Linked DNA regions of Callithrix jacchus. The main gene of each other region encodes a partner of the protein of the gene in region 3 in a complex. Links are inferred from orthologs where the notes say so. Each region holds a gene or a part of one and is shown on either strand. Other genes may lie near its edges. The genes, in order: CNN1, PRKG1 and ITPR1.

What was found.
Region 1: ITPR1 (region 3) and CNN1 share a complex: the UniProt entries of both Homo sapiens proteins name them as parts of the cGMP kinase signaling complex. The link is inferred for Callithrix jacchus from reciprocal best matches to the Homo sapiens genes ITPR1 and CNN1.
Region 2: ITPR1 (region 3) and PRKG1 share a complex: the UniProt entries of both Homo sapiens proteins name them as parts of the cGMP kinase signaling complex. The link is inferred for Callithrix jacchus from reciprocal best matches to the Homo sapiens genes ITPR1 and PRKG1.

The regions. Positions count from the first base shown.
Region 1 is NC_133523.1:10,686,744-10,690,536, reverse strand, and holds part of CNN1 (calponin-1), read right to left. Parts: intron 2,743-3,793; coding exon 2,676-2,742; intron 2,588-2,675; coding exon 2,450-2,587; intron 1,989-2,449; coding exon 1,878-1,988; intron 512-1,877; coding exon 365-511; intron 285-364; coding exon 39-284; 3' UTR 1-38. UniProt on the Homo sapiens protein: Thin filament-associated protein that is implicated in the regulation and modulation of smooth muscle contraction. It is capable of binding to actin, calmodulin and tropomyosin. The interaction of calponin with actin inhibits the actomyosin Mg-ATPase activity.
Region 2 is NC_133513.1:77,911,529-77,915,321, reverse strand, and holds part of PRKG1 (cGMP-dependent protein kinase 1), read left to right. Parts: intron 1-3,327; coding exon 3,328-3,450; intron 3,451-3,533; coding exon 3,534-3,596; intron 3,597-3,793. UniProt on the Homo sapiens protein: Serine/threonine protein kinase that acts as a key mediator of the nitric oxide (NO)/cGMP signaling pathway. GMP binding activates PRKG1, which phosphorylates serines and threonines on many cellular proteins.
Region 3 is NC_133516.1:61,630,567-61,634,830, reverse strand, and holds the start of ITPR1 (inositol 1,4,5-trisphosphate-gated calcium channel ITPR1), read right to left. Parts: upstream 2,865-4,264; 5' UTR 2,604-2,864; intron 1,773-2,603; 5' UTR 1,697-1,772; intron 1-1,696. UniProt on the Homo sapiens protein: Inositol 1,4,5-trisphosphate-gated calcium channel that, upon inositol 1,4,5-trisphosphate binding, mediates calcium release from the endoplasmic reticulum (ER).

The DNA.
Region 1 (3,793 bases), on a different chromosome or scaffold from region 3:
CAGCCTCCCTCGGGGGAAGACAGGGAAAGCCTGCGGCCCTAGGCGGAATTGTAGTAGTTGTGTGTGTGGTGGTTGTGGGCAGGCTCCCCCAGCTCAGGGTACTCGGGCGTCAGGCAGTACTTGGGGTCGTAGACCTGGCGAGGCAGCCCATACACTGTCATGCCCCGCTGCGAGGCGCCCTTGTTGCTGCCCATCTGCAGGCTGACATTCAGCGTGTCGCAGTGCTCCATGCCCAGCCCTGGCTCAAAGATCTGCCGCTTGGTCCCTGGTGCGGTCATGCCGGCCTGCGAAGGGTGGTGTGGTCAGGCCATGGGGCAGCCCGGGTCCTGGGCCTTGACAGTGTGCCCCAGGGGGCCCCTCTCACCTGGCTGGCTCCTTTGTTGGTGCCCATCTGCAGGCTGATGGTCGCCTGGTCCAGAGGCTGGTCTGTGCCCAGCTTGGGGTCGTAGAGGTGGCGCCGGGTACCGTAGGCCGTCATGCCCTGCTGGCTGGCAAACTTGTTGGTGCCCATCTACAAAGCCAGAAGGAGAATCACACCAAGAATTACCTCATCATGGGCCATGAGATGTGGCTGATATGAGAGGATGAGACACTGTTTTCATGTTTTATTTTATTTTATTTTATTTATTTAGAGAAGGAGTCTGGCTCTGTTGCCCAGGCTGGAGTACAGTGGTGTGATCTCAGCTCACTGCAACCTCCGACTCCCTGGTTCAAGCAATTCTCCTGCCTCAGCCCCCCAAGTAGCTGGGGCTACAGGCAGTGCCCCCACGCCCAACTAATTTTTGTAGTTTTAGTAGAGATGGGGTTTCACCATGTTGGCCAGGATGGTCTTGAACTCCTGATCTCATGAGCCACACACCTCGGCCTCCCAAAGTGCTGGGATTACAGGTGTTAGCCACCACGCCCAGCCTTATTTTATCTTTACATTTTATTTTGTTTTATTCTATTCTTCTTTAATTTTTTAAAAATTTTATTTGAGTCTCATTCTGTCGCCCAGGCTGGAATGCAGTGGCATGATCTTGGCTCACTGCAACCTCCACCTCCCAAGCTCAAGTGATTCTCCTGCCTCAGCCTCCCAAGTAGCTGGGACTACAGTTGCTCGCTGCCATGCCTGGCTAATTTTTGTCTTTTTGGCGGAGACAGGGTAGCACTATGTTGACCAGGCTGGCCTCAAATTCCTGACTTCAGTTGATCCACCCGCCTCGGCCTCCCAAAGTGCTGGGATTACAGGCATGAGCCACTTTGCCCAGCCAATTTTTATTTTTCAGAGACAGGGTCTCACTCTGTCCCCCAGGCTGGAGTGCAATGATGCAGTCATAGCTCATTATAACCTTGAACTCCTGGGGCTCAAGTGATGCTTTCACTTCAGCCACCACACATTTGGCTAAATTCTTAAATTTTTTTGTAGAGATGGCAGTGGCGGGATCTCTCTGTTTTGCCCAGGCTGGTCTGAAACTCCTGACCTCAGGCAGTCCTCCTGCTTCAGCCTCCATAAGTGCCGGAATTACAGGTGTCAGCCATTGCACCCTGCCTGAGGCACTGTTTCCAGACTGGAAACTGAGGCTCAGACTAGGTCTATCACATGACTGACTTCCAGCATTCCAGTCTCAGCCTGCCACGCATCAGCTGGAAGATCTGGGCAAAAGTGAGCCAGCTTCTCCGGGCCTGTTTTCCCATTCATGGAATGAGCATAGTGATAACAACATCTCTCTGCTAGGGGTGTTGGCAAAGTGAGTGAGTTTGTGAATAGAAGATGTGGATAAGGACAGTACCTGGCCTATAGTATAGTTAAGGCTGAATATCTCGTCCCCAAAAGCCTGCAGACACCCTGCCTTCCTGGCCTCCTTGACCTCTGCGTGGAGAGGATAGGGATGTACCTGCAGCCCGATGATGTTCCGTCCTTCTCTTAGCTTCTCTGGCTCAAATTTCCGCTCCTGCTTCTCTGCATACTTCACCCCCACATTCACTTTGTTTCCTTTCGTCTTGGCCTGGGTGGGGCAGGGAGAGCAGGGACTGACGAGGGGGCCGCCCTGCTGCACGGTCCCCATGGACACTGTTATTTATTTATTTATTTATGAGATGGAGTCTCGCTTTGTCACCCAGGCTAGAGTGCAGGGAGTGGCTCAATCTCGGCTCACTGCAGCCTCTGCCTTCCGGGTTCAAGCGATTCTCCTGCCTCATCCTCCTGAGTAGCTGGGATTACAGACATGTGCCACCATGCCCAGCTCATTTCTGTATTTTTAGTAGAGATGGGGTTTCAGCATGTTGCCAGGCTGGTCTTGAACTCCCGACCTCAAGCAATCTGCCCACCTTGGCCTCCCAAAGTGCTGGGATTACAGGCGTGAGCCACCACGCCTGGGCCACACTGAGCTCGGGGGCACAAGTGGCCATACGTGCATCCCAGCCCGGGCTGCCCACTGCCCCCTGCCCAGCCTGCACCCACACTCACCATGCTGGCCAGGGCCAGGAGGGTGGACTGCACCTGTGTATGGTTGGTGTTCTCAAACAGGTCATTGGCCTCAAAGATGTCATGGGGCTTCACCCCATACTTGGTGATGGCCTTGATGAAGTTGCCAATGTTCTCCAGCTAGAGGGGGGCAGGCGATGGTCACTGGGGGGCTGGTGGAGGTCTGAGGTGTGTGGGCAAGGATGGAAGAGATTGGGGCTGGGCTTACCTGGTGCCAGTTTTGGGTTGATTCATTGATCTTCTTCACAGAGCCTGGCTGAAGCTTATTGATGAATCTGAGAAGAGTGGGGAGGGGCTAAGAAAGGTGTCCCCCTACTCCCTACCCAGCCCAGCCCAGTGAGGGAGGATGGTGTCAGGATGACCACAAGGGGCCACGCCATGCCCCAGTCACTTCTCCCTGCCGTCAGCTCTCAGCTACAGCCCCTCCAAACCACCCAAGCACACATATAAATGGGGCAGGGAGCTAGACTCAGGTCCCAATCAAAAAGCCTCCTCATCCAAGGTGTGTCTGAGTCTCCAGGATTTCCCAAGCCTTGCTGCCTGGCTAATTTTTTTGTATTTTTAGTAGATATTTGGTTTCACCATGTTGGTCAGGCTGGTTTTGAACTCCTGACCTGAAGTGATATGCCTGCCTTGGTCTCCCAAAGTGCTAGGATTAGAGGCTTGAGCCATGGTGCCTGGCCCAGAATGGCCTTTTTTTAAACAATTCATGTTACCCTCCAGTGTCTCAGCATCCTTTTCTCTTGTAGACAGCAGGGAGCCCACAGGGGCCTCTTCTCTGACCCCTTTAATGATCTTGTCCAGTCTTTTATTTTTCTGGTACAGGGTCTGGCTCTGTCACCCGGGCTACAGTGCAGTGGTACAATCACAGCTCACTGCAGCAGCCTCAACTTCCCAGGCTCCCACGATCCTTCCATCTCAGCCTTCCAAGTAGCTGGGATCATAAGTGTGCACCACCACACCTGGCTATCTTTTGTTTTTTTGTAAAGATGGGGTTTCACTGTATTGCCTAAGCTTGTCTGGAACTCCTGGGCTCAAGTGATCCTCTTGCCTCAGCCTCACAAAATACTGGGATTACAGGCATGAGCTGCAGCGCCTGGCCTCATTCAGTCTGTTGACTTTAAGTGCCTCCATATGCCAGCAACTCCCTCATCTCCCTGTAGCCTGGGTTTCTCTCGGTCTCATCCAGCTCCCTCTGTGGGTGTCTGGGTGTCTCAAATCAAATTCACCCTGCTCCAGACTCCTGACACGCAGCTTCCCCCTCCAGACTCCCTCTCCCTCCACCTTCCCTGCTTAGCAATGTCCACTTCTAGGTGCTCAGCCAGA
Region 2 (3,793 bases), on a different chromosome or scaffold from region 3:
GGCAGACTTCCTGTAACTATGAGGGGAAGCAGCCCTTATGAAACTAATACTGAGTATGGCAGAATGAAAAGCTGGAAAAACTCCAGGTCTTTAAACCACAGATTCTACGAGGTCTAGAATTTGTCCTACCTCTGGAATGTGCTTTTGCGAGTTCAATGTTTTTCTTATTTTAATCAGTTTGAGCTGATATTGCCCATTTAGGTCAACTGAAGGATTCAAAAGTAAAAGCAGCTAAAGAACACACAAGAAAATTAATCAAAGAAAATAGGAGAAAGTATTCAGATAAACTCTTGTCTCTAATTTCTTTGAAGCTATCAAAAGCATGATCTCCCTAAAAAGTAACCTTTAAGATATTTGCAAGTGTTAATAAATAAGAAGACAAGTAACTAGCAGAGCTAAGGACCACTACAGAACTGAAAGTCATGTTGAAAACAGAATAGTAACAATTAAATTCAGAAAACTGAATAGTAACAATTAAAAATCCAGCAAGGGAGATAGTAGATAGGCTTGGAAAAAATAATGGAAAAAGAAAAAAGATATAGATATGATTTCAGAAACAGAAGCTATTAGTCAAAGGAAATAGAAAAATACATGAATTATGTGTATGAATATAATATTACAAACAGGAGAAAAACATATTTAATTACATAATAGAAAATCCGTGGCATAAAGATTTGATTAAGTGTATCCTTTTGATCTGCAGTGACCAGGGGGAAACCGATTGAGAATAATAACACCACAGGGTGTCCATGTGGAATCTCCTAAATTCATTAATAAGGAATAGTCTTATTGGCATCAGTGCTATAAAAACTTGGCATGTGTGGTATTGAGAGTGAAGATAGTTAAAGTTCCAGTTGGCCTCAATCCTCTCTACAGCATCTATAATACCAAAAGATAGTATATCAAGAACTATATAGTTCTAAGGATCACAGAAAGTATAACTCAAGTAATTTATACTGAGGTAAGTTATTCTTCAAATACAAACACAATATGTAAAGTGTGGAACCCAGGCCTTTCTCAAAAACACTACTGTTTAATCAAGTCAACAAAAAGAGGAATCAAAATAAAGCATTCAGGAATAGAGAAACAAGTGAAAAGATTGATGGTGAAATTTGAGTCTAATTAATTGATACTTAGATCAAATAATTTAAATTTGGGTAATTGAACAGAATGTCAATGTTGTAGGCTTTGGCAATCTTAAAATAACACTAAAACCAGCAAAAATTAAGGTGGGAAGTGAAAGTAGGTACAACTACAGATATAGTTATTTCTCATTATTAATAATCAGTAATATTACATATATTCTGCAGTTAAAATGTGTCATTACAGAAGAGAAATTTCTAAATTCAGTCTGAATTTTTTTTTAATTTTAGAGAAATATTTTAGGAATTATTGGTTAAGGAGGATGTATTTGAAATTTAGCATTTCTTTCCATTTTACTCCTTAGTTTAAAGTAAACTTAAATTGAATATTTTTAATTTTAAAATATGCATAATATATTCTGTCTACAATCCACATAGAGAAATCTATGAAAATATGTTCATCAAACGTTGATTACTATGAATATTTTTTGGTGTTGAATGACTTTCTTCTAAATAATTTTGTTTTATATATTGAATGAATATTAGACTAACATGCATCACATAAAAACCACAAAAACCATCTTTAATAATTGATTTTAGTTGTCTAAGATAAGCAATTAAATATAAAAGCAAACATATAAATTAGAAAACATTACATTTATAACACAGAAACCCAAAGATGTGGGTCCTTCTCATTTTTTAAAGTAAAAATGAAAACTGGCATGTTAACTTAAGAGAATAAAGAGAATATTCAATCATAGGATCACATAAAGAGAAACTGTTTAAATTCTAAGACAATACTAAATAGATTTTCATGTTTATATATTTTTTAAGTGATGTAAAATTGATAGACAATTACTAGCTAATAACATATTAAAGTAAATAGAAAGCACTTTGCACAACAAATCAAGGCAGAATCCATCACAGCCCTTAGCACAGGTAAATCTGCTACTCCTTACTTTAAATAACTCATAAGCCTGCTTGATAAAAAGAAATCATTTGAACTGCTCTTAATAAACATGAACATGAAGGGCAAAAATATAATAATTCAGATTTCTCCCCCAAAGACACACAAAAACTGTATTAAAGAGAATAACTAATTTTCAAAGAAATCATTTGTCAAGGTGTACCATCATCTCCCTTCTAAACTGTGAGAAATATGAAGAAAAGACCTCACTTTAGTCATCTTTGTACTCACTGAAGTTGCCACAAACTACACTTCAAGGATGGATAGGTTAAAAAAAAATCAACAGATGTGCCTCATGAGGACTGAAGGGTTACATCCTTACCAACAAAGATAATGATTAGTGTTAAGTTATCTAATGAGGTCCTCTGTGCGGAGAGAAAATGATAGAAGGAGTACTATTCTACAGAAATATTAGATCAATAAATATTTACTGACCCCTTAGTATGTACGTGCTGTGAACACTACTCAACTCTGGGAATACCAGCAGAAAATAAACTATTCTGGAAGGGAAGACAGACATAACATAAATAACTACACAAATGAAAAGATAATTACAAAGTACAATAAGTGGCATAAGCGTGCTATGAAAGTGTAACAGGGACGAAAACTTTAAATTTGAGCATAAGATTAGATTGTTAGATTTTGTGGGTTGATAGAGGTTAATTGATTTTATTAGGTTGACCAGAGTAGGCCTTTTGGAGAAAACAACATAAAACTTACTTCACTGAGATTTGATAAAATGAGGCATTGGCCAGATATGTGGGGAGAACCTTTCAGGCCAGATAAATAACACCATGAGGTAGGAAAGCGCTGAGCATTTCAGTGGAACAGAGAGACACTGTTGTTTCTGGATCCAAGTGAGTGAGGGTGGTAATGGCATGAGGTGAGGGGGGGGGTAGTATCGTTGGTGTTCCTGTGGCCCCTCCTAATGACTTAGGACTTCATCTCAAGTATAATGAGTGAGTCAGTAAGTGTGGAAAAGGTCAGAGAGTGAAAGAAGCATCTTGAATGACCAAGGACAGCATGAGGGATTAGACTCCAGCAGTAAAAAGAAATCAGGGAACAGCAGATAAACTTGACCCATTTCTGGTTTTGCTAAGTGATTTACCTGGAAGGACTTCTACACTGTTTAGCTCTTAATCTACTTTCATTCCATTGTCACTATTAATGTAAGCCCCCAAATAAGAATTGATGTCATCGGTGGAGTTTATAGCAATTCAAGTGTTCTCATGTAGGAAATAAAAATAATAACTCTTGTCATGTCTCTCATTCTTGCAGCCCACCTTTCTCAGGCCCGGATCCTATGAAAACCTATAACATCATACTGAGGGGAATTGACATGATAGAATTTCCGAAGAAGATTGCCAAAAATGCTGCTAATTTAATTAAAAAACTATGCAGGTAAGTATCTCAACTACATTATCTTTGAAAAAAATCATAATGTGAAAAGATTAGATGTAATAAAACTATTATTTTATTTTTAGGGACAATCCATCAGAAAGATTAGGGAACTTGAAAAATGGAGTAAAAGACATTCAAAAGCACAAGTAAGTCTTCTTTCCTTATAACTTTAGGTTTCAGAGTTCCAAACACCTGACATCATTTTGCCAGGGTGTTACTTTTTAAGTTATTGGTGTAAAAACTAGTACAATTAGCATATAGGAACATCCAAAGACAGAATATAAACTTATTAGGCTTTTCCTTTCTAGTTGTTTCTGAAACTTAATTTTATTTACCTGACAAC
Region 3 (4,264 bases):
CGAATTACTCAAAAGGGGAAACGCCTGATCCTTTCACCTACTCAGATGCTTTGATATAAATAATCAAGATGTATTTCAGCTGGGAGATGAGCCTAATACTTAACTTGCATAATGTTTCTTGTGGTTTTGTGTTGTTTCTTTTTACTCTCCTCATTCAGGCTTTCCAAAGTGAACTCATTACAACATCTAATACCTCCTCAAATATCTGCACTCTTTTATCCCTATATTTGTGGCTATATCCTTTCCTTCTTACATCAGTGTTAAGTATTACTTCATCATTGGTGGGATATAAGCAGGTTATTTCATCAATAGCAGTAAGTTTTCCATTTTTCCTAGCTTCCCTCTCACCACTCCCCATCCCCAAATCAACTTAGGTCCATTTGTGGGATGCAGTACAGCCTCACTGCCTGAAGGTATGTATACCTTGCTCCTACTTTATACTAGCTACCGGACAAGTGATTTCACTCTCTGCATCTCAGTTTCTTCACCTGTATGTCACTCAAAGGGTTTCCGAGACATACGGCTCTGACCCTGGCTTACGAGTACTTAATGTGTAACCATCTTATTATTTTTACCAACCAGTTAGAAAGGAATCTGTGAGCCAGGTTCTCCTTGTTGTACAGCTAATTCTGAAGAGGGGAACTAGACCCAATACTTGGCCCTGTGAGCACTCATATAGCCATGTGAGTCAATAAAAGAATTCCAATAAGAAACTAGAGTTCTCACATCCAAATGCTTCTCACTCCGCCAGTACTCCCGAGGATCTTATCAACAGGAAACAAAAGCACTACACCACTATAATGAAGCATCTGACTTTTATTTTCTCATTTAAAAAGTCCAAAGATTGTAGCCCAGGGAACAGCTAAATATTTAGAATGTTAAAAACGTTACTAAGACCCAGCCACCCACCCCACCCACCTCTGTTACCCTGTTATTTACCATGTTTCTGAACATTTCGGGGGGAAAAAACTTCTGATGGCCAAATCTGTAGCAATCGTGATGTATGTGCACCCGTTGAAACCTCCCACTCTTCAAATGCAGTCTGACCATTTTGGGGAAAAAATAGAAACTGTTGTGTTTACAGACAAATGCTGCTCTCAGCTCATATTCCACTACAGGCCCCAAGACAACAGGGACCTGCCTGATTCCTTGACATTCAGGTGGCTTGAGTCAAGGGCTGAATGTTACTATCTTAAGCTTCAACAACTAACTTCCCTTTTTTAAGTTCTAATTCTTTCAACTTGCAGCAACCACTTTCATTTCTTGGAGTCCAACCTACTCTGATTAAGCCACAGGTTCAAAGTTCGAAGAGAATAACTATTTTCTGAAGGAGAGAGGCAGTGAATACTGCTTACACATCCTGGCATATGAAACGCACTGCATCCTTCAGAATTTAAATCACCAGCACAGCCCGGCAATGGGCCGCCGTTTTATTGCTCCATTTAATGGCCTTTCCCCACCGCCCCCCTCATAAACCTTCAGGCTCCTTCAATTCTGTGCTTACGTCCAAGAAACGGACTGTCCACTGGACCTCTGCTCTTTAAAGCCCTCACCAAAGGCAGAGGCAAATTTTGACGACTGAGCAACGGAGTTTCTTTTTCTTACTTCCCACTTCCTTGGCTGTTTAGATAGAACTTAAAATAGACGTAGGACAAAAACTCATTATTGACTACAGCACTCAGGCTTCCACACTCACCTGACCCGGGTCAGGCACTCTGTTGCCAAAACAAGCCCAGCGAGGGGTGCAAATCCTGCTCCTCTGCAGTCAGCTCCTAAATATTTAGAAAGAAAGAAGACTGAGTAACAGACCGCGGAAGATGGGTCTCTAACAGAAATGTTCTAAATTACAAGTTTCCACCTTCTTTAGCCTCCTCCCCTGGAGAGACCCAAGTCTGGAGCAGAGCCTCCCCAAACTTGGCAGGCAGGTTTGGTGGGATCGCTTGGGAGAAGAATACAGGTATCTACGCTCATTTCCAGGATGTAACTGACAAGTGAGACTAGGCACGCACAAACTCCGAACTTGCGGGAGGCTGGAACTAAGGGAAATGTTTGGCAAATCCCAAAGCACTTGTTTCCCGGCGAGGTGGCCAAGTATCCGAAGCCTGCATCCTCACTGGACGTGAGCTTCGTCCACACTTCAGCCCTCACTGCTTCCCCGGTTTTCTTCCATTTTTAAAAACCCTCCCCACGGGGGCTCCCCACACATGCATTATTCTCCCAACCATGCAGTGCAAGAGAGGGCTACATTTTTAGAAAGATTATTTCCTTGAGCAGACTTACATATGACACCCCCACAACCTCTCTCTTCAAAAAAAGAAAAAAACTATTTCCTGCAGCTGCGGCAACAGTTTCCAACTTGGGGGAATGCCATACCAGTCCGGAATGGGGAGCCCCCAACACTATGCACTAGAGTCGAGGATATTTAAGGCTTTTTAAGCCTCAAATGAGCTCCCCCTAAAAACTGCCCGCAGTAAAGGAACCCCCCAAATGCATGCCAAGTGCATGCACATCCATCAAGATCTCCCAGAAAGCGGGGCAAAAACTTCTGCGCCCAGGGAGCCAGTGCCAACTCCCCGCGCCCTCTGCCCGGCCCCAGCCGCTACCTTGGTGCCCGGGGAGCCACGCCGGTTTGGGGCAGCAGGGCGAGGAGAGGGGTTAGCAGCCGCTGGGTAATCCCATGTCCGCGAAGAGGCAGCTCGTTCCGTTAGGATGGAAGCGGAACACCCACACCTCCTCTCGGCTTGCGCTTTCTCTCTCTCCACCCCCTGCCTCCTCCTCCACCACCACCTCCTCCTCCTCCTCCTCTCCTCCCACCCCAGCAAGCTTAAGGAAACACTTCAGCAGCACATCCACATGGTTACTGCACTTTGAAGCGGCTCCCGGCGGCTTATATAGGCCGGAAAGCTCCCTGGGCAATGTAGTCCGAGTCCCGGGTTGCGGCGGCGCCTGAGGCTGAGGGGAGGGACTACAAGTCCCAGAACCTCCTGGGCGCCGGGACTGGGCCCTAAATAGACGCGCGCGGGGACCGGGGAGGGACGTCCTACGGGGCGTTCATGCTGCTGAGCAGTCTCGCAGACTGAGGTCGGTAGGGCTTGGCGCTACCCCCCCCCCATAAAGCCGCCCCTGGGAAGTGCCCCCAACCCTTGGGGACGCCTCTCCTCCGGTTGCCCCTCTTCCCTGGAATCCAGGTGTCACTGGGGCCGGGGAGGGGCGAGGCGCTCGGATTTCTGCTTTGGGAAGTTTTTACAAGCGGTTACCCACCCTCCTCCTGCCTTGGGTCCCCGAGCCAAGAATTTCAGAAATCCGGGGCACAAAAACGCCAGTGTTTGCGGTCAGGGATTAAAGGCGCGAGGTTGTCTTTATTTAATCTGCTCCGCCCTGCTCGGGTTTGCACGAAAAACCAAGCCTGGGAGCGACGGTCCACGCAAGCGGAGACAGGCAAGTCGCGTGAGAGCACTTTTTTGAGCCCGAGCTGCCTGTGTCTTTGGTCGCCCCTCAGGAGGTAAAGAAACGCCAACCTCTCCGGTGCGCAAATTAAGGAGCCGTGTTGTGACTTGCCGGCTCTGAAACTGGAAGGCAGAAAATAAATACGATCTGCGACCTCTAGCAGCCCCTCTGCTCCTGGGTGCTGTAAATGCTTAGGTAAATAAACCGCAAACAAGAAAAATAAGGGCTCGGGAGAGTGCCGCTTCTACTGAGATGCGCGTCCAGGCGGGGCGCTCTCCTGCAGCTCCGACTAGGGCGAGGTGGGTTTCACCCGCTGCCAAGTAGTGCCTGGCTCCGCTACGAGCTGCTCAAGTTGGGGAAGAGCTAAGCCCAGAAGCAGTCAGCCGACTGCCCTCTCTTGCCTCAAATGACGTATATTCATTCCCCAAACGTTTCCTGAGTGTTTACTGGGTGCCAGGCGCACCATAGCATCCCAGACAGGCACTTCCTGACGCCGCCTAAAGATCTGTTATACGGTAATAATAATGATAATATTCAATGGAGAGGCTGATTTTACTGAGCCCAGATCCATGCAGTTTTCATGCGTCATGCTATTGAGTTTCACCAACTGTAGGTATATTTATCATACCTGTTTCGCAGGTGCACAATCCAGGGCTCAGAGAAATCAGGTAACTTCCCAAGTGACCCCTCGAGTTAAGCGGTACAGCCTGGATTCTGGCTCCAGACTCTGAGTGTATGAAACCCTTGTCTTTGGGGAAATCCATCGCCATTGCCTTAAATAGCCTCTCTCCCCATTTTAAGGAGCAGCCTCTGAGCC